Anolis sagrei: one gene and its partners. The protein of the gene in region 4 interacts with the protein of the main gene of each other region in a pairwise test. Links are inferred from orthologs where the notes say so. Each region holds a gene or a part of one and is shown on either strand. Other genes may lie near its edges.

The links.
Region 1: the proteins of GADD45G (region 4) and LRIF1 interact in binary tests that used the Homo sapiens proteins (3 or more experiments, as listed by UniProt). The link is inferred for Anolis sagrei from reciprocal best matches to the Homo sapiens genes GADD45G and LRIF1.
Region 2: the proteins of GADD45G (region 4) and ARPC5L interact in binary tests that used the Homo sapiens proteins (3 or more experiments, as listed by UniProt). The link is inferred for Anolis sagrei from reciprocal best matches to the Homo sapiens genes GADD45G and ARPC5L.
Region 3: the proteins of GADD45G (region 4) and AFAP1L1 interact in binary tests that used the Homo sapiens proteins (3 or more experiments, as listed by UniProt). The two-hybrid records come from large-scale screens. The link is inferred for Anolis sagrei from reciprocal best matches to the Homo sapiens genes GADD45G and AFAP1L1.

What each region holds. Positions count from the first base shown.
Region 1 is NC_090024.1:205,699,852-205,707,604, reverse strand, and holds the start of LRIF1 (ligand-dependent nuclear receptor-interacting factor 1), read right to left. Parts: upstream 3,019-7,753; 5' UTR 2,849-3,018; coding exon 2,787-2,848; intron 677-2,786; coding exon 1-676. UniProt on the Homo sapiens protein: Together with SMCHD1, involved in chromosome X inactivation in females by promoting the compaction of heterochromatin.
Region 2 is NC_090031.1:6,399,382-6,407,128, forward strand, and holds the start of ARPC5L (actin-related protein 2/3 complex subunit 5-like protein), read right to left. Parts: upstream 3,008-7,747; 5' UTR 2,893-3,007; coding exon 2,720-2,892; intron 1-2,719. Other genes in the region: PPP6C (serine/threonine-protein phosphatase 6 catalytic subunit), read right to left, coding at 7,500-7,747. UniProt on the Homo sapiens protein: May function as component of the Arp2/3 complex which is involved in regulation of actin polymerization and together with an activating nucleation-promoting factor (NPF) mediates the formation of branched actin networks.
Region 3 is NC_090022.1:102,222,618-102,229,565, reverse strand, and holds the start of AFAP1L1 (actin filament-associated protein 1-like 1), read right to left. Parts: upstream 3,019-6,948; 5' UTR 2,891-3,018; coding exon 2,833-2,890; intron 1-2,832. UniProt on the Homo sapiens protein: May be involved in podosome and invadosome formation.
Region 4 is NC_090022.1:234,504,287-234,512,121, reverse strand, and holds the start of GADD45G (growth arrest and DNA damage-inducible protein GADD45 gamma), read right to left. Parts: upstream 3,001-7,835; 5' UTR 2,813-3,000; coding exon 2,760-2,812; intron 1,878-2,759; coding exon 1,746-1,877; intron 1,623-1,745; coding exon 1,406-1,622; intron 628-1,405; coding exon 517-627; 3' UTR 1-516. UniProt on the Homo sapiens protein: Involved in the regulation of growth and apoptosis. Mediates activation of stress-responsive MTK1/MEKK4 MAPKKK.

The DNA of each region.
Region 1 (7,753 bases), on a different chromosome or scaffold from region 4:
TGGTGACACATAAATAACTGTTTGTGCTTTCCTAATGTCACAAGCCTCAGAAGCATTTGAGACTGATGTAACCAAAGTATTCTGTTGAATCGAAGGTAGCAGTAAAGAAGCTGGAACAGATTTAACTTCTTCATGAGCTGGTATTTGAAGAGGATGTTTAGAAGGAGGTACTTGAGACTTTGGAGCGAGAGGAAATCTGTTTGCATTCACAAGTACGTAGCTGGTATTGCTTGTTTCTGAGCCAATCATGGCAGGTTCATTTGGGAAAGGTGATACATCAGTAGAACTGCAATTACTCTGAAGGCTATAACTGGTAGGAGTGGTTGGATTATCTTTTACAATGCTAGAAATTATCGGTGTAGTTGGATTCTCCTTTATAACAGAGGCATCAATCATTTCCACTTGACCAAACAGCTTTGGTAGAATCAATTTTCCAGATGCAGCCTTCTTACACTCAGTGTCTTTAACAAATGAAGATGTAGCAGTATTTGCAAACAAATCCTGCAAATTACTATGACCAGGTCTTGAAACATTTCTGTTCATATTATCAGTTACAACCGAAGACTGATGCAAGGGAACATCGTTTCTTAGAGGTCTAGAAACTGGATGACACTTCCGGAGGTTCTTTCCATCCAATCCAGCTGCTGAAACTACATGATATACATGACCTATAATACTTAAAAGAAAAAAAAGTAACATAAGTAACAACTTCTCATGTATCGTGATTATTCTGGCCTACATGCCGAGGCACAGTTCATATGGAAAACCTATATTAAATAATGGAGCACCCCAATAAATTTCATAATAAAATCATTGTGCATTTAATAGATTAAAGCAATATCTTTCATTACAGATAACGAAAAGCCAGGGATGGTTCTTAAAGAATGGATGGTGCAACTACAGGGTGAGGCAGCATAACTTTCTTTTTTAAAATGCGGGCCATTCAGTCGGTTGAAGACGTAGGGGAGTGCTAGTTGTCTCGTTTGGGAGGCGGGAGTGTAAAGTTTTGTCCTGACGCAGTTCAGTCGCCATCATGCGTTGGAACAGTGAGGAGTGTGCTTTTGCCGTTGAGGCCTACTTTTTGAGCGGATTTGGAGTGGCTGGCCCACTCTCCAGATTTGGCCCCTTGGGATTTTTTTCTATGGGGTTTTTTTGAAATCTCGTGTTTATGTGAACTGTCCAAAGACCCTACAAGATTTGAAGACCAAGATCCAGGAAGAAATTGCCAACATAACGCTGCTATGCTGGCAAGAGTCATGACAAACACCAGAAATTGGTTTACTCAGTGTATGGAGGACGTCACCTACCTAATTTGATCTTCAAAACTATGTAAAACAAAACTTTAGGTATGCGCCTACATTATAATTTTTTTTAAAAAAAAAACTCTGGGTTGTTGTAGGTTTTTTCGGGCTATATGGCCATGGTCTAGAGGCATTCTCTCCTTCTCTCCTAGAATGCCTCTAGACCATGGCCATATAGCCCGAAAAAACCTACAACAACCCAGTGATTCCGGCCATGAAAGCCTTTGACAATACATTAAAAAACTGATTCATACAATGGGTTTTATTAAGTTTTGAAAAAAGGAAGTTATGCTGCCTCACCCTTGATTATCGTAATGTACAACTCATGTTCTGGATAAGAGGCTACCATTACATCAAATATGGAAAAACAGAATGGTTTCCAATTGGCAAGAGGTTGAGCAAGACTGCCTTTTATCACCCTGTTTAACTTGTATTCTGAACACATCATATATATCTGAAAGTAACAGGCTCTGAGGAAGGAGGCATAAAAACTCGAGTAAAGAACATAACAATAAAACTTTATTTATATCCCACTGCCATATCCCAAAGGGACTTGGGGCGGCTCACAAAGCACTCAGGTGCAAACACACAACTTCTTGGGAGGAGAGCAATGTCCAATCTCGATAAAATAGTAAAGAGTAGAGACATCACACTGGCAACAAAGATCCGCCTAGTCAAAGCCATGGTATTCCCTGTAGTAACCTACGGATGTGAGAGCTGGACCTTATGGAAGGCTGAGCGAAGGAAGATAGATGCTTTTGAACTGGGGTGTTGGAGGAAAGTTCTGAGAGTGCCTTGGACTGCGAAAAGATCCAACCAGTCCATCCTCCAGGAAATAAAGCCCGACTGCTCATTGGAGGGAAGGATATTAGAAGCAAAGCTGAAGTACTTTGGCCACATCATGAGGAGACAGGAAAGCCTAGAGAAGACAATTATGCTGGGGAAAGTGGAAGGCAAAAGGAAGAGGGGCTGACCAAGGGCAAGATGGATGGATGGCATCCTTGAAGTGACTGGACTGACCTTGAAGGAGCTGGGGGTGGTGACGGCCGACAAGGAGTTCTGGCGTGGGCTGGTCCATGAGGTCACGAAGAGTCGGAGACGACTGAACAACAACAAACAATAACAAACAACATAACACCATACAATCCCACTGGTTAAAAATCAATAAACACAACCAGTCTCTAATTCAGCCAAGCGGCTGTGGGGGAAAAGGAAGGGGACTGAGGCTGTTAGGAATTGTGGGAGTTGGAGTCCAAAACACCTGGAGCTTGCCCATGCCTGCCTTAAGAGACTCAGATGTGCCCCCCAATCATGCAACCCATGCAATGACTTCCTCTGCAATCCCGCGGCGGCCACTGGGGGCGCGCGAGAGAGGCTGGGAGCGAGGTGGGCGCTAGGGGGCGCTGTGGGGCGCCCGCGGCTCGGAAGCCAGGCTCTTTTCCCTGGGATCCTCCTTGAGAGGGCGAAGCTTGCTTTGCGACTCACCGCGGCGAGGCGGCGCCAGGCCTGGTGTCCCCCTCCGCGGCCAGAGGCATCCTCAGCGCCATCCCTCCTGGGTCGGTCACGCGCTAGGCCCTTCACTGCGGCCCCAACATGGCGGCAACCACAGCAAGAGCAGCGCGCCCTCAACCCCAATGGCTTAACTCTTTACCCGGAGCTTTTGACGTACTTCCGCGCCCCTGGAGACTTCCGGCAAGGCTACTTTGTGACGCGGATCCCTGAGCGCCAATCACAAACAGCTTCTTGCGCACTCACTTCCGGATCCAGCGCTGTTCCCTCCTTGCTTTTAGTCAAGGGGGCGCCATTTTCCTGTCTTCCCGCCCGACCTCACTGGGAATAGTTTCCAGGAAGTTGCAAGAAGTACTTCCAGTTTGACGTTTGGAATTCCTGTTTGGGGGTTTACTTCCTTTTTGGGGAGAAAATAATTTTCCCCTCCAAATTAGAACTGTCTTTTTTGCGTTATCAAGAATTTGAAATGCAAAGATAAAGAATGAGGGACAATGCCTGGTTCAACAGCAGTACGTGTGAAAAAGATCTTGGAGTCCTCATGGACAACAAGTTAAACATGAGCCAACAATGTGATGTGGCAGCAAAAAAAGCCAATGGGATTTTGGCCTGCATCAATAGGAGCCTAGTGTCTAGATCCAGGGAAGTAATGCTACCCCTCTATTCCGCTCTGGTTAGACCACACCTGGAATATTGTGTCCAATTCTGGGCACCACAATTCAAGAGAGATATTGACAAGCTGGAATGTGTCCACAGGAGAGCGACTAAAATGATATAAGGTCTGGAGAACAAGCCCTATGAGGAGCGGCTTAAAGAGCTGGGCATGTTTAGCCCAAAGAAGAGAAAACTGAGAGGAGATAAGATACCCATGTATAAATATGTGAGAGGAAGCCACAGGGAGGAGGGAGCAAGCTTGTTTTCTGCTTCCCTGGAGCTTCAAACTACAAGAAGATTCCATCTGAACATGAGGAAGAACTTCCTGACTGAGAGCCATTCAGCCGTGGAAATTTGCCCCGGAGTGTGGTGAAGGCTCCTTCTTTGGAAGCTTTTAAACAGAGGCTGGATGGCCATCTGTCAGGGGTGCTTTGAATGCAATTTTCCTGCTTCCTGGCAGGGGGTTGGACTGGATGGCCCAAGGTATCTTCCAACTTTTGATTCTATGATTCTATATATGCAAACTATGTAAGGACCAATTGTGAACCTTTCAATAAAACATATAGGGCATATATCTATCTAATCTATCTATAGAAATAAAAATGTTATGTTCGTTTGTGGGATTAACAGAACTCAAAAACCACTGGATCAATTGACACCAAATTTGAACACAATACAACTCACAATCCAATGTATGTCCTTCACTCAAAAATTTTGATTTGGTCATTTGGGAGTTGTAGTTGCTGGGATTTATAGTTCACCTACAATCAAAGAGCATTCTGAACACCAAAAATGGCATTGAACCAAACGTGGCATACAGGACTCCCATGACCCACAGAAAACACTAGAAGGTTTTGGTAGGCATTGACCTTGAGTTTGTGAGTTGTAGAGCACTGTGGACTCAAGCAATGATGGACCTAACTTGGCACAAATATTCCATATGCCCAAATATGAACACAGATGGAGTTTGGGGGAAATACACTTTGACATTTGGGATTTGTAGTTACTGAGATTTATAGTTCACCTACAATCAAAGAGCTTTCTGAATCCACAAACCACAGAATTGGAGCAAACTTCCCACACAGAACCCCCATGACAAACAGAAAATACTTAAGGCCATCCAGTTCAACTCTCTTCACCAGGGCAAGAAAATGTAATCGGAACCCTCCTCACAAAGAGCCATCCAACCATAGATATAGATAGATAGATAGATAGATAGATAGATAGATAGATAGATAGATGATTCACACACACACACAGAGTTATAGTATCATAGATTTGAAACGGACCCCTAAAGAAGGACAATGATATGCTGCATGTTCCTGAGTAGGCAAACCAGACAATCTCCACATCAAAACTGACAAAGAAACAGCAAGAAATACTGTTTACCCACAAGCATAAAGAAATTACATATATTAGAAACAAACACTTTCTCATTACTTTATTTTCCAAATCACTAGATTTGGCCACCCACTGAGCTGCTGAACTTGCTGACCGAAAGGTTGGTGGTTTGACTCTAGAAAGTGGGGTGAGCTCCCGCTGTTAGCTCCATCTTCTACCAACCTAGCAGTTTGAAAACATGCAAATGTGAGTAGATCAGTAGGTACTGCCTCTGTGGGAAGGTAACCGCACTCTATGCAGTTATCTCTCTTCTCTCTTAGACAATCCCTCGTTGTCCAAGTAGGATTGTCTTCCAACGTCAGTGTACTGGTGGGTCTGTAGGTGACTGTGGAACCCTATTCTTGATCTGCATCTTCTCCCGCAGTGAGGGCATTGGTTTCCAGGTGGAAGGTGGTCTCAGTCGGGGATGGCTTGACGCACCTTCCTCTTGGCACGTTTCTCTCTTTTGTCCTCCATTCGTGCCACTTCAAATTCTGCAGCACTGCTGGTCATAGCTGATCTCCAGCTGGAGCACTCAAGGGGCAGGGCTTTCCAGTTCTGTGTCTATGCCAGTTTTTAAGGTTGGCTTTGAGTCCATCTTTAAGCCATGCAGTTATGCCAGCCACGTGACCTTGCAGGCGTCTACAGACAACGCCAGCTCTTCAGCTTAGAAATGGAGATAAGCATCACCTACCAGAGTTGGACACTAGACTTAGTGTCAGGGGAAAACCTTTACTTTTACTAAGGTATATAAACATACTGGTATGAAGTAGCGTAAAACATGAAGAGTTGTCTGAATTTACTTTGTTCTAGAGCTGTGTTTGTTCTAGAACTGATTACACTATTAAACATATTTTTTGTCATTTCCTAACTGGTTCTACCATAAAACCATGCTATGGAAAAAGTGTATTACACTGCAAAAATAAATAATTAAATAAATAGAAATAAAGTAAATAATTAAATAAATATTATCATAGAGCTCACTGGTTTGATTTTGATTTGATGTTTTGTTCTCATATTTTGTTATAATGTTGGTTTTCTGTTTTTGTTTTATATTGATGTTTAGATATTTTAATATGTTATATTTTAACCATGTTCACTTGGACTTGTCCCCGTGTAAGCCATCCTGAGTCCCTTTGGGGAGATGGAGGCGGGGTATAAAAATAAAGTTATTATTATCATTATTATGAGTCTGAGTCTATATAATACTGGGATTTTCAGTAGATACCATTTTGACTTCTGGAGGCAGCACAATGTAGTAAATCTTGCTTACATGTCATAATAAAAGAGAATAATCAGGAAGTGGCACTTTGGTTTTGTTTACTTCACTTTTGTGCTACATTCATATTTTGTGCCTTCATAGTGTTAAGTGTCTTCTTTATATGAATTGGTAAAATGCCAGTTAAATCCATTTCAATTCCAGACTGTAGAACAAAAAATAGAACAGTCATAGGTACGTGTGTACACGTGAACTGTTATGCAAGGCATCCCATACACCTGTTTTGAATGTTGACCGTCTAGCTAAATATTCCCGCCTCTAGCTGGCATCAACTCTATATTGTTTCAGACAGGATTCTATTCAACCTTAATGAAAGACCTCTGCTTTCCCCTGGTCGCCTTCCATCTAAGGATTGCTATGGTCTGATCCGTGTTCCCCTCCATAATCAGGTAAAATTGAACAATATGCTATATATACACACACATTTACAGAAAATTAATATGTCCTGTCATATTTCCCTGTGCACGGTATTGCAAAAATCATCTATTTCATGTTATGGAAGTTTAAATTGATGGCCTGGCTGATTTTAATCTACATTAATCCCCTATGTATTCTAGAATAATTCAGGAATCGTGAGCAAGGAGGAGCACATGGACTGGGACTCACCCTCTGAGGTTTTCACCTCCTCTTGTCTTGCAAAGCATAGGGGATGGGTCTGTAAAGAACTGCCTTGATTTCTAGTGGGAAAAATCATTTCATTGCTTTTCTCAGCTTTTGTATCCTGAATGTGTCATGGCTGACAAGGATGTGGCTTTTACCTGCACAAAATCTTCAGTCATTTCAAACTCAGCTTTAACATCTGAAAAAAGATGCAGCTCTGTGACCCTCCATTGTTGTTACTTTTAATAGCCATGCCTGATGAAAGAATTATGTGAGTTCGAAAACCTGCATAATATATATCAACACATACAACCTGTACACTGCTTTCTTTCTCTGTTTTATGCAATTATGGCTTTAAAGCTCTGCCCTGATCTTCTATTGGCCACATTTCCTTTATTTCCATTCTTGACAATTCTCTTGTTATCTCCAAGTAAACTCAACTGAAATGTTTTCTAAGCAGCTTGTTTTTTCACATTTTTATCTTCATACACTAGGTTTCTTAAGCTGCACACCACACTTAAAACAGTCTTCGCTTACAATACCTGCTTTTTCATGTTCAAATATTTCCAAAATATAAATTGCCTGGGAAACAAAATCAAGTGGTATTAACTGTAGTTTTTAGGATTTTTTTCTCTTAGCCCGCCACCCCACCCTTTGTACAGTTGTATCACATATTGTTTGAACTATAAATCCCTATGGGTTTCATAACAGGCATAGAAATGTCCTTGAGTCATATTTCTCTTTGGATATTGAACAAAGCAGTGTGAAAGTGTGGTATTAAAAACAGCTTGCATTTCTTCTTGAAACGAAACTTCATAATAAAATGATTTTTACTTTTGATTTAGCACAAATCAAAATAAAATGCTGTAAAACAGTGAGTCCATGCCAAACTGCCAGAACATAAATATACAATATTCGATATAAATTTTATTTATTAAAATATTTATATCTTACTCTGTTTTGGGGCAGTGTACAAATACATCAATTTAAAACCGTAAGAAGTAATTTAACAATATAAACAACCAAAAGCCCC
Region 2 (7,747 bases), on a different chromosome or scaffold from region 4:
TTCAGCCCATTCATTTCCCTTGTGAATGTAATACTCGATGGCTGCTCTCCAAGGTCAAAACCTCTTCAAAAAAGGTTGAGCATGCCTCATCCAAAACTGTCCAAATGATTGGCTAAGAGACACCTTTGCTTTTTGATGGTTCAATGCACAAAAACTTTGCCCCACACTCAAAATAGTTAAAATAAAATAAATAAATAAATAAATGTAGAAAAGAAAAGCTCTAGCTGTTAGCCTCAGCTCCTGCCAACCTAGCAGTTCAAAAATGTGAGTAGATCAATAGGTGCCGCTTCTGCGGGTAAGGGGTAGACTGCGTTGGATAATACAGAACGTTAGGTGAGCAAAGGTTAGATAAACGAGACTCTATTGTAATAATAATAATTTTATTTCTTACCCACCTCTCCTCGTGGCTTGAGCCAGGTTGCAAGAATATGAATGTATATTATTATTTTAAACTGCTTATTTTATGACATTTTATACTTATTATCAATGTATATGGATTGTTGTTTACATTATTTTAATATATTGTAAGCCACTTTGGGTCACGTGAGGGAGAAAGGTGGGATATAAAGATTTATTATTATTACAAAATAATTAAATAATAATAATAATAATAATTATTATTATTATTATTATATCGTGTGTGAAGCAAATTGAGAAACTACAAATCTCTGATGGTGTGAATTATTATTATTATTATTATTACCCCACTTTATTTCCCCCAAAGGGAACTCAGCAAATAAAAGCTCCAGCATAGCCATTTAAAATACACAAATATACCAACATGAAAACAAGATTAAATAGAAATCGTATTTTAAAACATTCCCAGTTAAGAATCATTAAAATAAATACATAACGCAGCAAAAACAACAACAGTACAAATACACACAGGAAAATGTACTTCCGCAAAAGTTAAACAACAAAAGGCGCCTCTACAAAATACATACTAAAACACACAAAACAGAGGACATGAAGGGAAGTCATACTGCCTCTCTATTCAGCTTTGGTTAAACCTCTTTCCCTGGAATCACACTGTGTACAATTCTAGGCACCACAATTAAAGAGAGATATTGACAAGCTGGAAGGTGTCCAGAGGAAGGCAACTAAAAGGATCTGGAGACCATGAATAATCCCTATGAGGAGTGTCCCAAAGAGCTGGGTCTGTTTATCCTGCAGAAGAGAAGGCTGAGAGGAGACATGAGAACCATGGATAAACATGTGAAAGCGTGTCCTGAGGAAGAGGGAGCAGGCTTGTGGACGCAATGGGTTCAAATGACAGGAGAGGATATTCCACCTGAACATTAGGAAGAACTTCCTGAGTGTAAGAGCTGTTCAACAGTGGAACTCTCTGCCTCCGAGTCTGGTAGAAGCTCCTTCCTTGGGAACTTTGAAACAGGGGCTGGATGGCCATCTGTCAGGGGTGTTTTGATTGTGCTTTTCCTGCCTGGCTGGGGGTTGGACTAGATGGCCGAGGGGTCCCTTCCAACTTTAGGCTTCTATGAGTCTATTCCATTGTTCTCATTATTATTTTTATGCTCAGTGGTCACCTTATATATATTTATATATTATGATTTCAGGTAGTTATTATATATAGATAGATGTGTGTGTGTGTGTGTGTGTATATATAGTGACCAGAAGACGACGATGACGACTACTACTTCTTTCTTCTTCTTCTTCTTCTGTCCACTGGTCACCTTATATCTATTTATATATTATTATTTCAGGTTATTATATAGATAGATATGTGTGTATGTGTGTGTATAGAGACAGAGTGACCAGAAGACATTATTATTATTATTATGTCCACTGGTCAGCTCATAACTATTTATATATTATTATTTCAGGTAGTTATTATATAGATAGATGTGTGTGTGTGTGTGTATGTGTGTGTGTGCGTATATAGAGAGTGACCAGAAGACTTATTATTATGTCCACTGGTCACCTTATATCTATTTATATATTATTTCAGGTTGTTATTATATACATAGATGTATATATACACACATAGTGACCAGAGGACTTATTATTATTATGTCCACTGGTCACCTTATATCTATTTGTATATTATTATTTCTGGTAGTTCTTATATACAGATAGATATGTGTGTGTGTGTGTGTGTGTGTATAGTGACCAGAGGACTCATCATCATTATTATTATGATGTCCACTGGTCTCCTTATATCTATTTATATATTATTATTTCAGGTAGTTCTTATATACAGATAGATGTGTGTGTGTATATATGTATATAGTGACTTATTATTATGTCCAGTGGTCACCTTATATCTATTTATATATTATTACTTCAGGTTGTTATTATATATACATAGCTGTATATATACAAACATAGTGACAAGAGGACTTATTATTATTATTATTATTATGTCCACTGGTCACTTATATCTATTTATTATTTCAGGTTCTTATTAATTATATAGTGAGCAGAGGGCTCTAATATTATTACGATAATTGCTATTATAATAATTATACCAATACTATTATATTATATTATATCATATTCTAATTATTAATATTACTAATATTACGGCTATTATTAAGTTCCCTGGTCACCATATTGATATATAATATACATGGTGGCTGAAGGGGAAAAAGAAGAGGGCTGAGGCCAGGAATTGTGGGAGTTGAAGTCCAAAACACCCTGAGGTACCAACTTGGCCCATCCCTGCCCGATTCTACCCGGCTCCCAAAGGGAAGAAGGATATTGCCTGAGGGCGGCCTCCACCTCGGCGCGCAGCCCTCCTCCGCCTTCGTCCTCGGCCGCCCCCAAGGCCCCGCTCCCGGCCTCGGCCCCGTCGGCCTCCTCCACGAAGCGGTTCTCGTCGAACTGGTCGATGTCGAGGCGCCGGAAGCGAGAGGAGAGCGAGTTCCGCGCCATGGCCAGGGGCCTGCTCGGGAAGGCCTTTCCCTCTGAGGGAAGACGAGGAGGAGAAAGCGGCACCTCCTTCCCTCTCGGCTGCCACCGACCTTCTGTGGTGATTCTCCCCGGAAACGGAAACCCCGCCCGCCGGGGAGGGGGCGAGAGGGAGAGCCAATCGGGAAAGGATGGGCGCGGCCAAAGCCTGGGGAGAAGTGGGTGGGGCTTCCCAGCCACGTGACCTCAGCACGCCTTGCCTAATCCAACCACTTGCTTCTCATTTCTAAGGCAGGTTGGTGAATATTTACTACAGTGAACTATTACTATCATTACTCATAATAACTTTAATATTAGCAATATTAATATGATATAATACAATAGTAATAATAATAATTTTATAATAATAATAATTTATATATATATGAACAGAGAACTTAATAATCATAATAATATGATATAATAGGAATATATATATATGGTGACCAGAGAACTTAATAATAATCATAATATTAGTAATATAAATAATATAATAAAAGGTAAAGTTAGTCCCCTGACATTAAGTCCAGTCATGTTTAACTCTGGGGGTTGATGCTCATCTCCATTTCTAAGCCGAAGAGCCAGCGTTATCCATAGACACCTCCAAGGTCATGTGGCCGGCATGACTGCACGGAGCACCGTTATAATATAATATAATATAATATAATAGTAATATATATATGGTGACCAGAGAACTTAATAATCATATTAGTAATATTAATAATATGATATAATAGTAATAATAATATATATATATATACACACATACGAACAGAGCTTAATAATCATATTAATAATATGATATAATAGTTATATATATATATATATGGTGACCAGAGAACTTAATAATGATAATATTACTAATATTAATAATATAATAGTAATATATATATATATATATGGTGACCAGAGAACTTAATAATAATCACAATATTAGTAATATTAATATGATATAATTGTAATATTATATATATATGGTGACCAGAGAACTTAATAATCATAATATTAGTAATATTAATATGACATTATATATTAGTAATAATTTTATATATATATATATATATATATATATATATATATATGGTGACCAGAGAACTTAATAATCATAATAATATTAATAATATGATATAATATAATAGTAATATTATATATATGGTGACCAGAGAACTTAATAATAATCACAATATTAGTAATATTAATAATATAATATAATAGTAATATAATATATATATGGTGACCAGAGAACTTAATAATGATATTAGTAATATTAATATAATAGTAATAATTATATATATATGAACAGAGAACTTAATAATCATAATATTAATATGATATAATAGGAATATATATATATATATATGGTGACCAGAGAACTTAATAATCACAATATTAGTAATATTAATAATATGATATAATAGTAATATATATTATATTAGTATATTTATAGTAAAGTAGTAATTATGTTGTTGTTGTTGTTTATTCGTTCAGTCGCCTCTGACTCTTCGTGACCTCATGGACCAGCCCACGCCAGAGCTCCCTGTCGGCCGTCACCACCCCCAGCTCCTTCAAGGTCAGTCCAGTCACTTCAAGGATGCCATCCATCCATCTTGCCCTTGGTCGGCCCCTCTTCCTTTCACCTTCCACCTTCCCCAGCATAACTGTCTTCTCTAGGCTTTCCTGTCTCCTCATGATGTGGCCAAAGTACTTCAACTTTGTCTCTAGTCTCCTTCCCTCCAATGAGCAGTCGGGCTTTATTTCCTGGAGGATGGACTAGTTGGATCTTCTCGCAGTCCAAGGCACTCTCAGCACTTTCCTCCAGCACCACAGTTCAAAAGCATCTCTCTTCCTTCGCTCAGCCTTCCCTAAGGTCCAGCTCTCACATCCGTAGGTGACTACAGGGAAGACCATGGCTTTGACTAGGCGGATCTTTGTTGCCAGTCTGATGTCTCTACTCTTTACTATTTTATCGAGATTGGACATTGCTCTCCTCCCAAGAAGTAAGCGTCTTCTGATTTCCTGGCCACAGTCTGCATCTGCAGTAATCTTTGCACCTAGAAATACAAAGTCTGTCGCAGCCTCCACATTTTCTCCCTCTATTTCCCAGTTGTCAATCATTCTTGTTGCCATAATCTTGGTTTTTTTGATGTTTAGCTGCAACCCGGCTTTTGCGCTTTCTTCTTTCACCTTGATTAGAAGGCTCCTCAGCTCCTCCTCGCTTTCGGCCATCAGAGTGGTGTCATCTGCATATCTGAGGTTGTTAATGTTTCTTCCAGCAATTTTCACCCCAGCCTTGCATTCATCCAGCCCCGCACATCGCAGGATGTGTTCTGCATACAAGTTAAAAAGGTTGGGTGAGAGGATGCAGCCTTGCCGAACGCCTTTCCCAATCTTGAACCAGTCTGTTGTTCCGTGGTCAGTTCTGAATGTTGCTACTTGGTCCTTGTACAGATTCATCAGGAGAGAGGGAAGGGGGCTTGGGATGCCCATCCCACCAAGAACTTGCCACAATTTATTATGATCCACACAGTCAAAGGCTTTAGAATAGTCAATGAAGCAGAAGTAGATGTTTTTCTGAAACTCCCTGCCTTTCTCCATTATCCAGCGGATATTGGCAATCTGGTCTCTCGTTCCTCTGCCTTTTCTAAACCCAGCTTGAACATCTGGCAACTCTCGCTCCATGTATTGCTGGAGTCTTCCTTGCAGGATCTTGAGCATTACCTTACTGGCATGATGAGAAATAAGGGCCACTGTACGGAAGTTTGAGCAGTCTTTCGCATTTCCCTTTTTTGGTATGGGGATATAAGTTGATTTTTTCCAGTCTGATGGCCATTCTTGTGTTTTCCATATTTGCTGGCATATGGTAGTAATTATAGTAATAATAATAATAATAATAATAATAATAATAATAATAATAGAGCCCTCTGCTCACTATATAATTAATAAGAACGTGAAATAATACATAGATATAAGGTGACCAGTGGACATAATAATAATAATAATAATAATAATAAGTCCTCTGGTCACTATGTGTGCATATATACATCTATGTATATAGAATAACAACCTGAAATAATAATATATAAATAGATATAAGGTGACCAGTGGACATATCTATATTACTCTTATTATAGATAAGAGTAATATAGTAACTCTAGGCTCTTATTATTGATAAGAGTCTAGAGTTGCTGACTTTATCAACTCCTGAGGAAGGGGATTGCTTTCCCCGAAACAGGGTACAAAAATACCCGGGCACCCCTGTTGAATGCTATTTGGACTTTTCCTTTGAAGACTTATTTTGAGAAGCAGTGCTTTCACTGGACTTGATTTGGATTTTTTCCATGAAGATTGTTTTGAGAGTGGTGCTCCATCTTCATTATTGTCTTCAGTCTACATAGAGCCTCATGACTAAATGCTTACTGTGTTTGTATGATTTTTCTTATTGAATGTATCCCTGAAGCCTATATACAGTGGAATCCTTATCCAGACCTAGAACTTACGTTTGAGAGCGGCTCCTCCATTCAACCCTCAGAGGCACCTATTGGCCTAGGACTCCTATGTGCAATCCTTTGCCCGCCTCCACATCGAGCTTTGCGCCCCCCCCCCCCCCCCCCCGGTATTCTGACCCTCCATTGAAGCTTTATAGCCATCTATCTGCCCAGGACTTTTACGTGTAATCCTTTGCCACCCTCCAGTGGACACATCAAGCATTTGCCCTGGTCTGTGTGCTGAGTCAGGTTCACCACTTGTAATGTGCAGCGTTTCCCTTTCCCAGTATTAAGTAATATATATCTTTGTTAATAATAACAACAATAATACATCTTTGTTAATAATAACAATAATAATAATGGCTCAATTTTGAAATGAAAAGCCATGACATTCCCATCAACAACATATGTTTTTATTTCCAACGTTTTAACCCAGAGGCACGGGTTTCTGGATACGACTTTATTAAAAATACAAGGTATCTGAGAGAAAAATCAGAGCAATTATTTTAATGTACAAATCCAAATACCTGTAGCGTGTTTTGCTTTTTCTTGGAACCCTAAAACATAAAAAAAAACAAGTCTTCGAGGGACAGGAAAAACGAAATAAGCGACATCCTTTTTTCAAACCCACTTATTTCTATCTGCTCAAAGCAAAATATAAAGCACGACCGTTCCCTCGTATATATCTAGATGGACTTAGAAAGTCCCATTGCCGCACATAAATACCACTTTGCTGCTGAAATTTCTTTAAAACTCTATCCTCAAGATAAATATTCGCGTGGAATAAGGAGATCGGACTAGTTCTGGCTCGGTTTGTATTTTATTGGAAAAGGGAGGGAAATCAAAACAGAACAAAATGGAGAGAAATCGAGAAGCATTATAAAACAGCGAAGTGCTCTGAGCACTCTTGGAAAGGGAAATAGCTTTTTGTTATTCTGCGCAGAGGGAGGTCGAAAAGAGACGCGTCACTGACGACAATGTACAACACATTTAGATATAATTTAAAAATAAAAAAGAACAAGGCAAGAGGCAGCATTTCAGCAGCAAAGTGCTCAATAAAAAGTATGTCACACAGAAAGAGAAGAAGGGAAATATGGGAGGAGGGTCTCAGAGGAAATACGGCGTGGTGGTCCTCGGGGGGATGACGCGCTCGGAGTCGGGGACGGCGCGGAAGAGCTTGGGCTCTCGCGTGTTGACGTCCTTGAAGACCATGATGGAGGCGATGTTGCCGCAGCGGTAGCAGTAGTTGGGGGCCGACCACACCGTCACCAGCTTCTCATCGAACATGAACTTGTAGCCTTCGTGGACCAGCTGGTGGGCCCGGCAGATGAGCTTTAGGTTGTTGATGTGCACAA
Region 3 (6,948 bases), about 130 Mb from region 4:
ACATTATTGAAATGAAGCCTATCCGGTCTAAGAATACCACAGAGTTGCACTGGAGCATCTAGAAAATGCCTAGAGGACATATTTTATCAGATGTGGATTAATGAAACTGTGGTACAGGGGTCATCTTTTTCTTTCCACTGATTTTTTTTATTTAAATGCATAGAAACACAACTAGGAAGCATCAGCAACTTCAGTGCATCTTGACAAATGCAACACAACAAAAACTTCCTAACACAAAAGATGAAGAAGAACAATATCAAAATTATTTATTTGGTCAGCTTTCCCAAATAAATGCTTTCTGAAAATGGTATATGTATGTGTGGAAAGACTCAACTTTTCCATGCTTATACAACTTTACTTTCCACTGTTTAGTTTTAAGTAACTCTAGAGCAGGGGCGACTCAACCCATTACGCAAAGTAAGCATTTGCAGTATAGTTGATTTTGCCCAGGGGCACTCTTGAGGCACTCTTGGGGGAAAAGTGACCTTGACATATGCGAGTTGTAGTTACTGGGATGTATAGTTCACCTACAATCAAAGAGCATTCTGAACTCCACCAATGATGGAATTGAACCAAACATGGCACACAGAACTCCCACGACGAACAGAAAATATATATCAGTGATTGGTGGGGGGGGGGGGGGGCAAAATACTATTTCCTTACTGTTGAAAATTACCTAGGGCTGCCTCTGCTCTAGAGTACCCCTCAGAAATGCCTTTCACATAATCTGTTTGTCATAGCAACTTGGGAAATAGACATGGACTGCTACTACTGTCCTTATTCCTGGGCAGACCTCTGCTGTCTGTAACATGATCTACAAGAAAGTAAACCTGTATGGCCACAACAGCTGTGCAGTAACCAAAGACTTTCCACTGTCTTACTATACGTGTGGTGGAGGATGAGAAGCAGCACTAAAGTACATGAATTGTACTCCAGTACTTCTCTCAACTGTGAACAGGATGAGAGTGAGCTTTGTCATATTGTTATTTTTAGGTGAGTCCAGCCCTTCGACTTCCACCCACTGGGGAATGCTGCTAGAGAATCAGGTGCAGTATCAAGGCCACTGTTTATGACAGCACTTCCTGCCAGTTCTTCCTGTATTAATTACTTTTTTATCATAAAAACAAATCACAAATAAATGTGCAAATAAGGTTGTAAGCATTTTCTCAGTATGGAGAGAAAGGTTGTGTGTTTTCAAGTCATTCCCAACATAGTGAACCTAAGGTGAACCTATCACAGATTTTTCTGGGGCTGAGAGTGTATGATTTACCTAAGGGATCACCAACGGGTTTCCATGGCTGAGCAGGAAATTTAACCCCATTCTCTAAAGAGCCACAGTTCAATGTACCGTTGTTAAAAGTCTGGGTCTCAATCAAGCAACTATCCCAAATATCCCATTTTCATCATCTTCTTGCTTACTCTTTCTATTACAGTGGGAGCCCAACAGTCAAAGCTCTGAAGGACAAAAGATTGGCATCTTTCATCAGCAAGGCTGACAATTTCATCTGGCATCTTCCCTTATGTTTCTCTTACCATTTTGTATTTAGTAGCAGCCCACACCATAAAAGTGAGTTTTCAAAGTTGCAAGGTATTTTTGTGAGTTTCCATGTTGTAATGAAAAGGCATTTTGGCCTGACTTTAATGCACAATTAAGACCCACTAATTTTACAAAACATCTGCTCCCAGTAGAGTTGAAAAGGGATGGAACTGGTTTGTTGATATGGATGAATATAAATGCTGGCATTTTTGGGTCCTCCTCGGGGTCATGGCTATGGGGACTGTCATAACAGGTGGCTGCACTCCAAAATTTCCTACTATATCAGTGGAGCAAATTTACAGTGAACCATCACATATGAAAAAAACTAGCTGAACTTTAACACAATGCAATGAACTCTGTTTAGTTCATCACTTCTTTGAAAACCCCAACCACAAAGAAAGATAATAATATACAACCTGATTCAGTGGAATCTTAGTGCCAGAACATTGGTATGCTTTCTAGTAGCTGCACATTCCCTCTGTCCCATATTTACAATCATTTAGAAGATAAAGGACAAAATATTTCTGGACCCAAAGTTGATCACTGTTCATTCAGATAATTTTCTTTGGGTTGTGTGCTTCCATCACTGCACACAATATAAGAGGATTCCATTCATAGAGGACACTGTGAGGATCACAAAGGTCTAGAAACAACTGCATAGTACAAATGTAAATATGAATTAGTGGCACTTGGTGGCTCAGACTTTAGTGGCTTCATGAATTGTCTCCTGATGTTAGCTCTGAACTTTAAAAGGGCTTTTCAGTGGAAGTTGACTTTGATCATGGACTAGCAATCACAGATAACGAATTGGATTATGATTTTAATTATGAGATGTACCGGTCTGTATTGGTGGCCCAATACTGTGTATGTATATGTATGTATTTTATATTTTATTTTATATTTTTAAATCGGAATATTGTTGTTTTAAATATATTGTAAACCGCAATGAGTCGCCGCATAGGCTGAGATATTAGCGGTATACAAGTGTACCAAATAAATAAATAAATAAATAAACATCTTGGGCACTTCCTTTAAAGTTCAGACTGAAACCCAGAGAGGTTTAATCACTCCACTCACCTCAAAGACACATAGTATGGATATATGGAATTTCCCATGGACCTAGCATTATAGAAACAACTACTGCATAGGTGCACGCGAGTTCTTGCAGCAACGTCAAAACACAATTACAAGGGAGAGAAAGTTCTCACAAAGCCAAAGTTGTATTGTGTAAGTAGCAGCCCACACAAGAAAATGCAAGCAAACATGGACAACTCTGGTCTCTACTTAACACTCACCTCCTGCCACAGATCCCATGTTAAAACCTTGACACTGACCTCCAAACCCAGAAAGCATAGAGCAAATATGGAGGTGAAAGTAGAGTCAATTCCTGCTATTTGAGATGGGCTTCTGAAGAGTGGCCATGGCATTAATTCTCTGGCTTTTGCAGTGGCTCAGTTTCCCCAGGAAAGAATTGCAGCAATGTGCGGGAGAGCAATGTGCTTTGGTCAGGAACAGCTGGGGGGTGATCCCATCCCTGCCCCTCCCTCTTTCACCACACACACCCTTAAATCTGGCTGCATTTTAGGAGAGGGTGGAATTCCCAAAGTGGATGTTAGGCAGCAAATCAAGAATGATTCAGGATTCCTCCCACCCAATCTAATGTCACCCTTTCTGTACGGCAGGGCAGGCCCACATGCTCCTGACCAGGACCCAAGAAAGCACAAACAAGTAATTAAAGGGTCCTCTATGTTACATCACTTGGCTCTTGGGTCAAACAAATGAACTAACAAACCCACAGCATTGCAACAAAAGAGAAAAATCTGTTTGCAATTTTAAAAAATAAACATTGTATAATTCAAGATATTAAGGATCCAACAGAAAGTTAAGAGAATACAATACAGGACCAAATTGCTGCTTGAAATAAACTGTTTTACAACATTTGATCATATCACTGATTCCACAGGTAGAAATGAGAAACTATATTGCAAAAAACATACAGTACAGTGTTCAATTGTGGGATTAATCATCACTTTGAGTGAGGAAATGGCTAAGAAGGAGAAATTATCCTTCTCTTTCAGCATCAGTGCAGCAGGCATACAACATGAACTAAGAGGAAAACATCAGAACATCTCATCATGGATCTTCCATGCCTCATCTTTTTGGCCATGCAGCATCTCTCACGTAATGGGTGTGTACTGGTTCTACAGCAACATGTAACTGAGCCTTAGATTTAGAAGGCATACTGTATATCCTCGAGAGGCTGGGAACACTGCTGGCTCAAGATTTCTCCATTTTGCACTATTCATGGTTAAGATGTTAAAACGTCTCACATTCTTTCCTACTCTCATGGAAAACAGTAGGATGAGGCTTCAATCCACAAAAGCAGCCACTGTACCATTGTCCTGGTATTACAGACAATTATTCTAGACGAACTATAATAATAATAATAATAATAATAATAATAATACCTTTATTTTTATGTCCCACCACCATCTCCCTGAAGGGACTTGAGGAGGCTTACAAGCGGGATCAAGCACAATAACAAAAAAGTTAGACAAGTAAAAACACATTAAAAACACAATAAACATTTTTATTTTTATACGTAATTTTTTTATATGTAAAAACAAAATGAAACTTTTTCTCAGTTTGGAACAATTTTTTGTGTTGTGATTTGAAAAAAATAAAAATGGAAAATAACAAAAAAAACCTCACAATAAACATATGACAATCTAATTACACAATTAAAACAGTAAATTTTAAAAACTGCATTGGAATAAATCAAAGCCAATCTCAATAACAAGAACCAGGACTATGGTGGACATATCAAAATTAGAGAGGGTTGGGCATGGGCCTGTGCAAAACCAGATTATAGGGAGAGGGCTGGGGTAAAGTGCTGAGATTTTATATGACAGTCAATTAGAGCTGGGCAATCATAGGCAGGGGCCTAACTATTTTCAAATATGCATTTGAACATCCATGTTTTGAGGTCCCCACAGAAGGTAGACGGAGTGGGTACTAGCCTAATATCCCTAGGGAAGGAGCCGTGGGGGCATCACCAAGAAGGCCCTTTCTCGTCCCCACAAACTGTGCTTGTGATGGTGGTGGGAGCGAGACAAGTGCCTCTGCAGCAGATCTTAAGGTCCATGTCAGTTCATATGGGAAAATGCGATCGCGAAGATAGGCAGGACCTGAACCATTTAGGGTTTTGTAGGTGATGACCTACACTTTGAATTGCGACCGGAAACTTATCGGTAACCAGGGGAACTGTTTAAATAGGGGCTCCCTATATCTGCTCCCTTTATCTGCTTCCTATAATTAGCTCCAGTTAGCAACCTGGCTGTCGACCTTTCCACCAACTGCAGTTTCTGAGCCATCTTCAAAAGCAGCCCCATGTAGAAGGTGTTGCAGTAATCCAGTCGGGATGTAACTAAGGAATGGACCACCGTGGCCAAGTCAGGTTTCTCAAGGTCTTTTCTATGGCTTTTTCAGCCATAGCAGAAAGCAGAAATAGAGATAGTAGCAGAAGCCCACAAACCCCAGAATGACAGAGAGGGATAAAGTGGGGCTTGAAACTAGATTGGAGGGTTTGTGGCACCCAAAATGATCTTTCAAAATAGATCACCAAGATATAGTAGATACTGACTATAGAACTGCACAGAAGGACTTGGGGAATTGCTAGAGAAATGTAACCTTAGGTTTTTAAAAACTTCTTTCATGGCTTTCCACTTTTATTGGGGTTTTGTACCCTTAATCCCTGTGGAAGTGGAGGCCTATTTATTAAGGCAGCTGTCATCATTCATTCTTTCCAGAAATAGCATAGGCTACCTATCATCTATCCTATACACGTTTACTTCAGAGCAATCTATGCTGAACACATGGAAAGGATTTGAACACACATATTGTGCTCATATGAATCTTCAAATGTAATGATGTTTCAGTACTAATACATGGTGAAAGCAATCCTTCCCCCCTACAAGTAGCTGCAAGGAGGCAACATTTATCACAACCTGTTTGCCAATGCTGATCAGCACAATACAGTCACAAGAAATGATACTTGGACTGTATCAACACTGCAGAATTTATATGGATACTTTCCTTCCTTTGCATTCCCTTTTAAAAAATTAGACTGTCAGCCCTTGGCAAAAATGTCTCTTTCATTGTTCCAGTTCCTTGGACAACAATGGTAGTATATCTATAAAAGAAAGAAACAAGACCTATAATGACATAGCAATTAAACTGCCATAGCTTCATCCTAAAGAATTTTGGAGCTGGTAATGATGTACATAGGTTTTTGAGCTGGAGAACGCTACTCCACTCCCCTGAACTAGACCATTGGAGTTCTCCAGCAGAATATTCTAAATATATCACCAAAACTATAAATCTCAAGATTCCATGTATGGAGGCATAGCAGTAAAAATGTGTACTGTGGATACACCCCTGCTAGCAAAAACAGGTGTCTAATACGTAAATCAACATCAGTGTTTAATTATCTGCAAGGGTCCATAGATAGTCTTTGGACACTATGCCCTTTTCTCTTTGGGAAACATCCATCCTATCAATTCTGTCATACTTTGAGGGCACTCCAAACCTTTCCAGTGAAATGTGCAGTCACAAGTAAAACTCATAAGAGAAACTAGCTAAACTAGAATGGTTGACTCAGTATCCTGCTTCTCTAAGGCCAATTAGATGCCCACAAGCAAAACACTGAGGTATCTCTCTCTCTCATCTATAATTCCTCAGAGAACTCACATCAGATGCTTGGAGCTGAAACTTTTGCTTTTTGCTTGCACAGATCACTGAACCTGGGAGATGGATAAGGTTCAAAGTTCTCTCAAAGAATGGCTAGACACTATCACCAGCCATACTTATATAGCCCTATGCCTTTGTAAACATTATGATTGACATGTGATTGGCTTGATCAGCAAATGGCAGGAATTACAGTTGGCCCTCTATATGCACAAATTTTGAATCCATTGATTCAACCATCCACAAATACTGTATTCATCCCCACCACTGCCCCCTCCCCAAAACTTCATTTTGCCATTTTATTCAAGGGACACCATTACACTATACATTGTATATCATGGGACTTGAGCATCCATGGATTTTGATAAGCCACAACAGACACCAAGGCCACTATACTTAAGGGCAGATAAAATTCATCAATGAACAAGAGAACTTATACCCAGGCACATAAAAAAGACAATAGCAGTCTCTACAACTATTTAAAGTCTATAGAAATCCCCAACCCATTCCCAACAAGATTGTATCATCTAGCCAAGCAAGGAATTCTAGAGAACTCAAATGCTTTCCTTTACATTCTGGTTGGTTTTAGTAAAGACTCAACATGACACAGTGTTTTGAGTGCATAGGAATCTGTGAGACCAGGATTTGAACTTTGACACAAGCAT
Region 4 (7,835 bases):
GTCTGCATCACAGTCTTTGTAGAAATACAAGGATACCAAAGTCTTGTAAAGCTTCCAGTCTCCTGGGGACTATGAATCTCCCCCATCAACCTTTCCATGTCCATATCTTCCCATAACATCTGTGTCCAGTTTTCCAACTTTCTCCATTGCTTTCGTAACATAAGTGTTCCACCTGACCTAGACACCTGCAACTGTCTTTTCTTTCTTCCATTCCTTTAAGTCAGAAAAAATTGCAGTTCTTCTTCAGCTCCACTGACACACCAGCTTCTCCAGGGCTGCAGCACTGTGAGGGGGACGCCAGGCACCCGCCACTCCCCTTCCTCCATCGCTTCTCCTTTCTCCACAAGAGCCCACTGCGTGCTGTTCTGAACGCCTTAATCCAAGCTGTTGACCAGGCTAATCTCCAGAAATCAGCCACTCGCTGGGTTGCCGAGATGTGCAACTCCCTGGATGAGTAATGCAACAAAAGGTTTCAACCTCTCCTCATGCATTAGGATTGCTTCTGCATCATCACCATCACTCAGGCAGGGTGATATTGGGCACCCAGTCGTTGACATTTCGACTCTCCTCACAAAACAAGTTCAGCTTGTCCAAGGAAGGGTCCTTCCAGGCATCCTCACTGGGGTTCTATAACAAACAGGAGAGACAAAGAATTCATGAGTAAAGGCTTCCTATTCATCCAAAAGCACATCGTACTACAGAAGTTCTAAAAAATCTCTAAATTACTTTTTTGTGTCAGGAGCGACTTGAGAAACTGCAAGTTGCTTCTGGTGTGAGAGAATTGGCTGTCTGCAAGGACATTGCCCAGGGAATGCCCAGATGTTTTCCCATCCTGTGGGAGGCTTATCTCATGTCACTGCATGAGAAGCAGGAGCTGACAGAGGGAGCTCATCTGCACTCGCCCCAGATTCGTCCTGCCAGCACAAGGGTTTAACCCACTGCACCACTGGGGGCTTCTAGGAACAATGGGATTATACAGCTATGGCATCCCAAAAATAAGGAATACTATTTCTCTATGACAAGTATTGTTTGTTTGTTGATAAAGCCCACCTGCAGCTACCAACATACTTCTGGGACCCAATAGCATGGGAATGTGCCACTGACAAAAGCACTTAAACTATGTCATCGTGGTTAATTGGTGGCCTCAATTGGCTCCAGCCAAGTCTAGCCTGAGATTGTTTCCACATGTTATTAGTCACACGGTATCAAGTACACTGGAAGCAGGGAGGGAAGGGGGAATTTCACAGGAAATCCCAGATTCTGCCAAGTTCTGCATGAAAGCCAACTACTACGAAACAGCATGACCTTACTGGGACTTTGTTTTGCAACCGTCTGTGCTCAGTGAGCTCAACTTTCCGGAAAACCCTCCCTTCAGTGGAAAGAGGCGAGACAACGAGACACTTACCGTGACGAGGATGCAATGCAGGTCCCGGGGTTCCCCAGACTCCTCGCTGGTGGCACCCACAATCACTGCCAACTTCTGGATGTCGTTGACTCTCACAATGTCAATGTCATTCTCACAACAGAATGCCTGGATGAGGGTGAAGTGGATCTGGAGGGCAATGTCTCCCTCGTCCTCCTCGTCGGCAGCAAGCACACAGAAGGCCACAGTATCAGGGTCACTGGAATGAACAAGAAGAAAGAAAAGCCTGGTTATTAGAGGCACACGGCAACCGAGATGGGCTGTTGTGCAAGTGGGAGAGACTAGGGAAAGGAGAACAAGGCGCCCATGCCTGGATACTCACACATTCATCAGTTTAGCAGATTCGTAGACGCCGGCGGTGAGGCAACCCCGGCGGTGAGAAGAGATCAGGAGCTCCTGAAGAGCTTTGCCAGCACTTTGCATCCTGCTGCTGGTGGAGGCACTGCTAGCTGTGCTAAAAAGGGAGAGAAAAGGGAGGGGAGATCAATTCCTGCTCCATTCCCACACTTCAATAGATCTCTTTCCAAACCCAGCCCTGGCTAAAGACTCTTGCTATCCCTAAACATAAATACAAGTCCAAGGGTTCCATAGTAGAGAGTTAAAGTGGTGCCAAACTGCATTAAACCTACAGTGTTGATGCACTCCTGTTTAGTGTGTTTTGATAGATCTCAATAGATCACCCAACCTGGCTAAAGACTTGTTATTCCTAAACATAACTACAAATCCCACGATTCCATAGTATGGCATTAAAGTGGTGCCAAATTACATTAAACCTACACTGTAGATGCATTCCTGTGTTTAGTGTAAACACAGGAGTGCAGCTACACTGTAGGTATAATGCAGTTTGGTACCACTTTAACTACAGTGCAGATGCAGTGTAGCAAACTCCGTTAAACCTACAGTGTAGACGCACTCCTGTGTTAGTGTAACATGCTAAACACAGGAGTGCATCTACACTGTAGTTTTAATGCAGTTTGGCACCACTTTAACTCCATACTATGGAATCCTGAGACTAGAAGTTCCTCAGTTCCTCTGCTGGTGATTCACCAAAGAGTGCAGAGTGATTCACCCAGCTTAAACTCGTGAGATTGCATAGCATTGAGCCATGGCAGTTCAAGAGGCATTTGATGCCAAAGGAGCCCAGTTCCTCCCAGTTTCGACCCATTAGCCCAGCCAATTCCCAACTCTCCCGGCATGAAATCTCTCCCCTGTCCATCAGCAAGGAGTCCCACCTCTCCCTGTTCACTTCTGGTGCCAAACAGCCCCACTGATCGCCTTCAATAGCGAGCTCTCCCTCCCTTATCTAGACAAGCCAAAGTGGAAGAGAGATCCTTACCTGTCGCTAGTCTCCGGCATCGCTTCCTGGCTGTGGATTTCCTCCAGAGTCATAATGGTCCAAAAGAGAGGAGGAAAAATGAAAGGAATCAAAAAAACCCACGCGGCTCTTATCCACAAATCTTCCGAGGAAAAAGGAAAAAAGCAAGTTGCTCAAGCCAAGGAACCCAAAGCCCTTCGATGCGCTCTCTCTCTGAGTGTCTCTCGCAGTCCTTCTCCTTTAAGTCCTCAGCGACGTCTGAGCGGAAGAGAGAGGCGCCCGCTGTATTTATAGACTGCCCAGCCGAGGCGCCGGCAGCTGCCGGGAAAAGGGCGGCGCTGATTGGCCAACCCTTGGGAGTATTGTGATGCTAATCAGGCGGGGAGCAGGGGGGGGGAGACGGCTCGTGCCAGGAGGCCACGTGGTAAGCAGGCAGGCAGGCAGGCAGGCAGGCGGGGGGAGAGAGACAAGGAGGAGAAAAGGAATCAATGGGAGCAGATGACAATGCTACCAATCTGCCACCGCTGCTTTTGTTGTCATGTTACTAGGCAGGAACTGCAAGCCGGAGCACTTGATCTTTAATATTAAGGGGAGGGAAGGAGGGGAGGGGGTAGGCATCAAAGGGGGAAATGTCTCCTTGTGGATATGTGCAACTTGTGGCATGGCTTATTATTTTATTATTATTTAAAATATGCAATAATACGCTTTCGTTAGGGAAAGGTTTTTGAAAAATTTTTAAAAAAGGAAAAACTTTTTCCCCCCCTAAGGCTTGCTTTTTTCCTTTTGCAAAGATGCTCTGACAGTGGGATATAATGTCTTGGAGTGGAGGGTGCATCTACACCAAGCATGTGCCAACTTTGTCCCTCCTGGTGTTTGGGACTCCAACTCCCACCATTCCTAACAGCCTCAGGCCCCTTCCGTTTTCCCCCTCAGGGGTGCTTTGATTGTGTATTTCTGCACAACAGAATGGGACTGGATAGCCCTTTGGGTCTGTTCAAACTCTTGGATTGTGAGTGTGTCTATGCTGTAGTGCATCTATAGCACATGGATTAAACCCTTGTGCTGGCTGACCTGTTGACCTGAAGGTTGGAGGTTCGAATCCGCGAGACGGGGTGAGCTCCCGTCTGTCAGCTCCAGCTTCCAATGCGGGGACCTGAGAGAAGCCTCCCACAGGATGGTAACACATCCAGGCATCCCGTGGGCAACATCACTGCAGACGGCCAATTTTCAGAAGCAACTTGCAGTTTCTCAAGTCACTTCTGACATGATAAATAAATAAATAAATAAATAAATGCTGTACAATGAACATTGTTTGACCCCAACTTAGCTGCCTTATTATGAAATCCTGGGAGTTGTAGTTTGGTACCAGCACCCTTGGGCAGAGGTGGCAAATATCTTTGCAAAACTTCACCTTGCAGGAAGCCATATCATTGAGCCATGGCAGCTCAAGTGGTGGCAAGCCGCATTAATTCTGCAGTGGAGAATGGGATGCACCCTTAATGTTTGACTGGGGAGTTGACACATCTCACTAATTTTCCACTATAGTTGTACTCTGAACCATAGCAGTTCAAACTGGTGTCAAGCTGTAGTGTAGATGCACCCTAGGATTCGACAATTGGCCCTGAAAACTGCTTCTGGCATGATCCTGCTCCCCACTTTGCAGCTCAGGGTTCACTCTTCCCCCCACCATGTGTGAGGAAGGAGAGATGGGCTTTTTTTTCTTTTCTTTTTTGCAACCTCAAGTGTGCCTTGCTGCCCAAAAGGAAAAGAATAGAAGTGTGTGCTGATGATGGGGGGAGTGCATGAAAAGTGAGGTTCCTGCAAAGTTCACCGAAATGGATTGGGTGGGGGTGGGGTGAGGGGGCTGCCTGGAGCAGATTGTGGCCGGCACACGCTCTTCGTTTGCATGTCAATGGCAGGCCCACAATGGCCTGGGTCTGGCGTGTGGCCGTTTGGAAGGCGGACAAAGAGAGGCTTTCTCTTTGGAGCAGCACTCTCCACCTGCCACAGGGCTGAGGGTTGGCTTGGGCCCCAAAAAAGAGGGGAGGGAGGGGGAAGGCAAAAAAGTAGGGGAGGCAACTAAAGGGGGGGGGGCAATTGCACTGCTCTCCTTTTCTCTCCCCCCCCCCCTTTTTTCCATTGTTCATCACCCAATCTGTTCCCTAGCTGATGAATGTCTCCACTTTGGCTGCACAATTCCCCAAGTTGCCACTGAGATTTCAAAGGTCCTCTAAGAGCATAGCATCACCTCCTGATTCCAAAGGCTCCTTTCTCCTGCCTTCTTCCACATATACATATACCCCATGGGTGCATCTACATTGTGGAATGAACACAGCTTGAAATGCCACACTACATGCTATAGAATTGAGGAGTGCTGGTGATTCGTCAAACGACATACATCCAGGATACCATAGCTTTGAGCCATAGCAGTTAAAGGGGGTGTCAAAGTGCATTCATTCATCAGTGTAGAGCAGGCATGAGCAAACTTTGGCCCTCCAAGTGTTTTGGACTTCAACAGTTGGTATTGTGGGAGTTGAAGTCCAAAACATTTGGAGGGCCAAAGTTTGCCCATTTGGAGGGCTAAAGATACACCACAAGCTCCAAAGGCTTAATTCCCTTGCTTTCTTCCACACACACAAACCCATCATCCCCATGATCTTGATCTCTATTTTGCAATACACAGGAGAGGCCAACCACCATCCTGGCCAGGGGGGCATCTATACTAGAAAGGATCTACTTGGAAAACCACAATTTCCATGATTCCATATCTTTGAACCATGGTAGTTAAAGAGCAGGGTCAAACTGCATTCATTCTACAGTTCAGGTGTACGTTTTGAGCCAGGACTCCGTATGATAGTCCAAGGGACACCTAATTTTTAAAAGCGGGGGGGGGGGGTCACACAATGCAATCCCATGAATGACCCCTTGTCACCATCTAATCATGGTGCTTGCTTGCAGTGGAAGCATAAGGGTTGCCATTATGTGGTGCAAAAGGGTCCTTATAAAAATCTGATGGTGTTTTCCCCCTGGGTGGCAACAGGGCTGCAATCCTTGGCAAAGTGAAATTAATGAACCAGACCTTTGGGTTTTGTTTTCATTCCCTGTACATCATGTTCTTCAAACATCCCTGTTCTCCCTCTAATACTCTCATTTTTTCCTTCTGTTTTGGACACCTAATTCTGGATAAGTAGCGCCATCTGCCGGAGACGGATGTACATCTTTCCTGTTAGAAGATACATTATTGTGCAGACAAGAGGTGCATCTACACCAGTGCTTCTCCACCTGTGGGTCCCCAGATGTTTTGGCTTTCAATTCCCAGAAATCCTAACAGCTAGTAAACTGGCTGGGATTTCTGGGAGTTGCAGACCAAAACACCTGGGGACCCACAAGTTGAGAACCACTGATCTACACTGTAGAATTAATACAGTTTGGCATCATTTTAATTGCATTGGCTCAATACTGTGCAATACTGGGATATGTAGTTTTACAATGCCTTTAACCTTCCCTGCCAAAAAGTGCTGGTGCTTTCCATAGTATTGCGCCATGGCAGTCAAAGCGGTGTCAAACTGCATTAATGTGACAGTGAAGAAGCCAGCCTCATTTTTCCTACAGAGAGAGAAGGCAACTGTGGGCCTTTAATATACACTGCCATTTGGTTCCAGAATCCCCAGGGATGCCAAAATCTGCAGATGCTCAAGTGCATAACAAAATGGTATCACTTATATGAAATGACAAATTCAAGATTACCTTTTTGGGAATTTCAAAATATTTCCAAGCAATGGATGGTGGAATTTGTGAATGTTGAATCCCTGGATATAGAAGGCTAACAATATATTTACTGGCAGAAGATGACAACATTCAAAATAACAACAATAATAGTAATAATACCTTCTTACCCGCCTTTTCTCATCTATGCCATCAGTTCAAAACATGTAACACATAAGTCTGTTAAAACATCATAGAATCATAGAGTTGGAAGAGACCTCGTGGGCCATCTAGTCCAACCCCCTGCCAAGAAGCAGGAAAATGGCATCCAAAGCACCCCTGACAGAAGGAGCCTCCGCCACACTCCGGGGCAGAGAGTTCCACTGCTGAACAGCTCTCAGTCAGGAAGTTTTTCCTAATATTCAGATGGATTTTCCTTTCCTGTAGTTTGAAGCCATTGTTTTACATCCTAGTCTCCAGGGAGGCAGAAAAAAAGCTTAAAGAACATATGCAACATGCTAAAACAACCAGTGCCCAATTTAAAGTTCACAATTAAAGTGGTGCCAAACTGGAGTCATTCTACAGTGCAGTTTGACCCTGCTCTTTAACTACCATGGCTCAAAGCTATGGAATCCTGGAAGTTTAAGTTTTACAAGGTCTTTAGCCTTTTCTGACTCACCAAACTACATATCCCAGGATTGCATACCATTGAACCAGTTATAAAAGCCAACCTCAATGCGGAGCATGCGTAAAACTTTGTGAATTTTCCATCCCATAATGTCCACAGACCATTGCCAGCATCAGACAACAGCACCAGAATGAGCTTGTGGGCTGGGAGCAAACATTCATTTACGTAGACCCTTAAATGACGTTATTTGTCATTATTGAGGTTTGTATCAAGTGACTTAAGGTTTCCTTTCCAAAGAGAGCTGAATTTATCCCCTTTTCTATGGCATTTGTGATGCATCTGACACAGTGGGCTGTAGTTATATTGCCACAAGTTTAAATGTGACTAATAACACAACAATAACAAATGTCTTTGCCTTGAAGGAGCCGCATGACTCTTCCTTGATTTGGTTGCCGCAGATGTAACTTGGGCTGATTGCCTGGAAATGAGAGTGTTCGTGTTTCTTAAGTGGGATCAGATGAAGAGGTGGGATGATAGCCGTTCAGGAAGTTCTCCAAAGCTCAGTACAGGAAACTATTGATGGAGAGCCAATTTGCCTGGATTCAGATCGCTGGGCTGGCACATCTCGGGAAGTGAGCTATCCATTTGATTCTCTTCCGACCTTTCCTTGCTCTGCCACTTTCAAATGACAAATGACAGGAATGAAACTAGGATCTCATACACACTATCCATTACTCACCAAAAGAGAATATATTTTTAGGAGA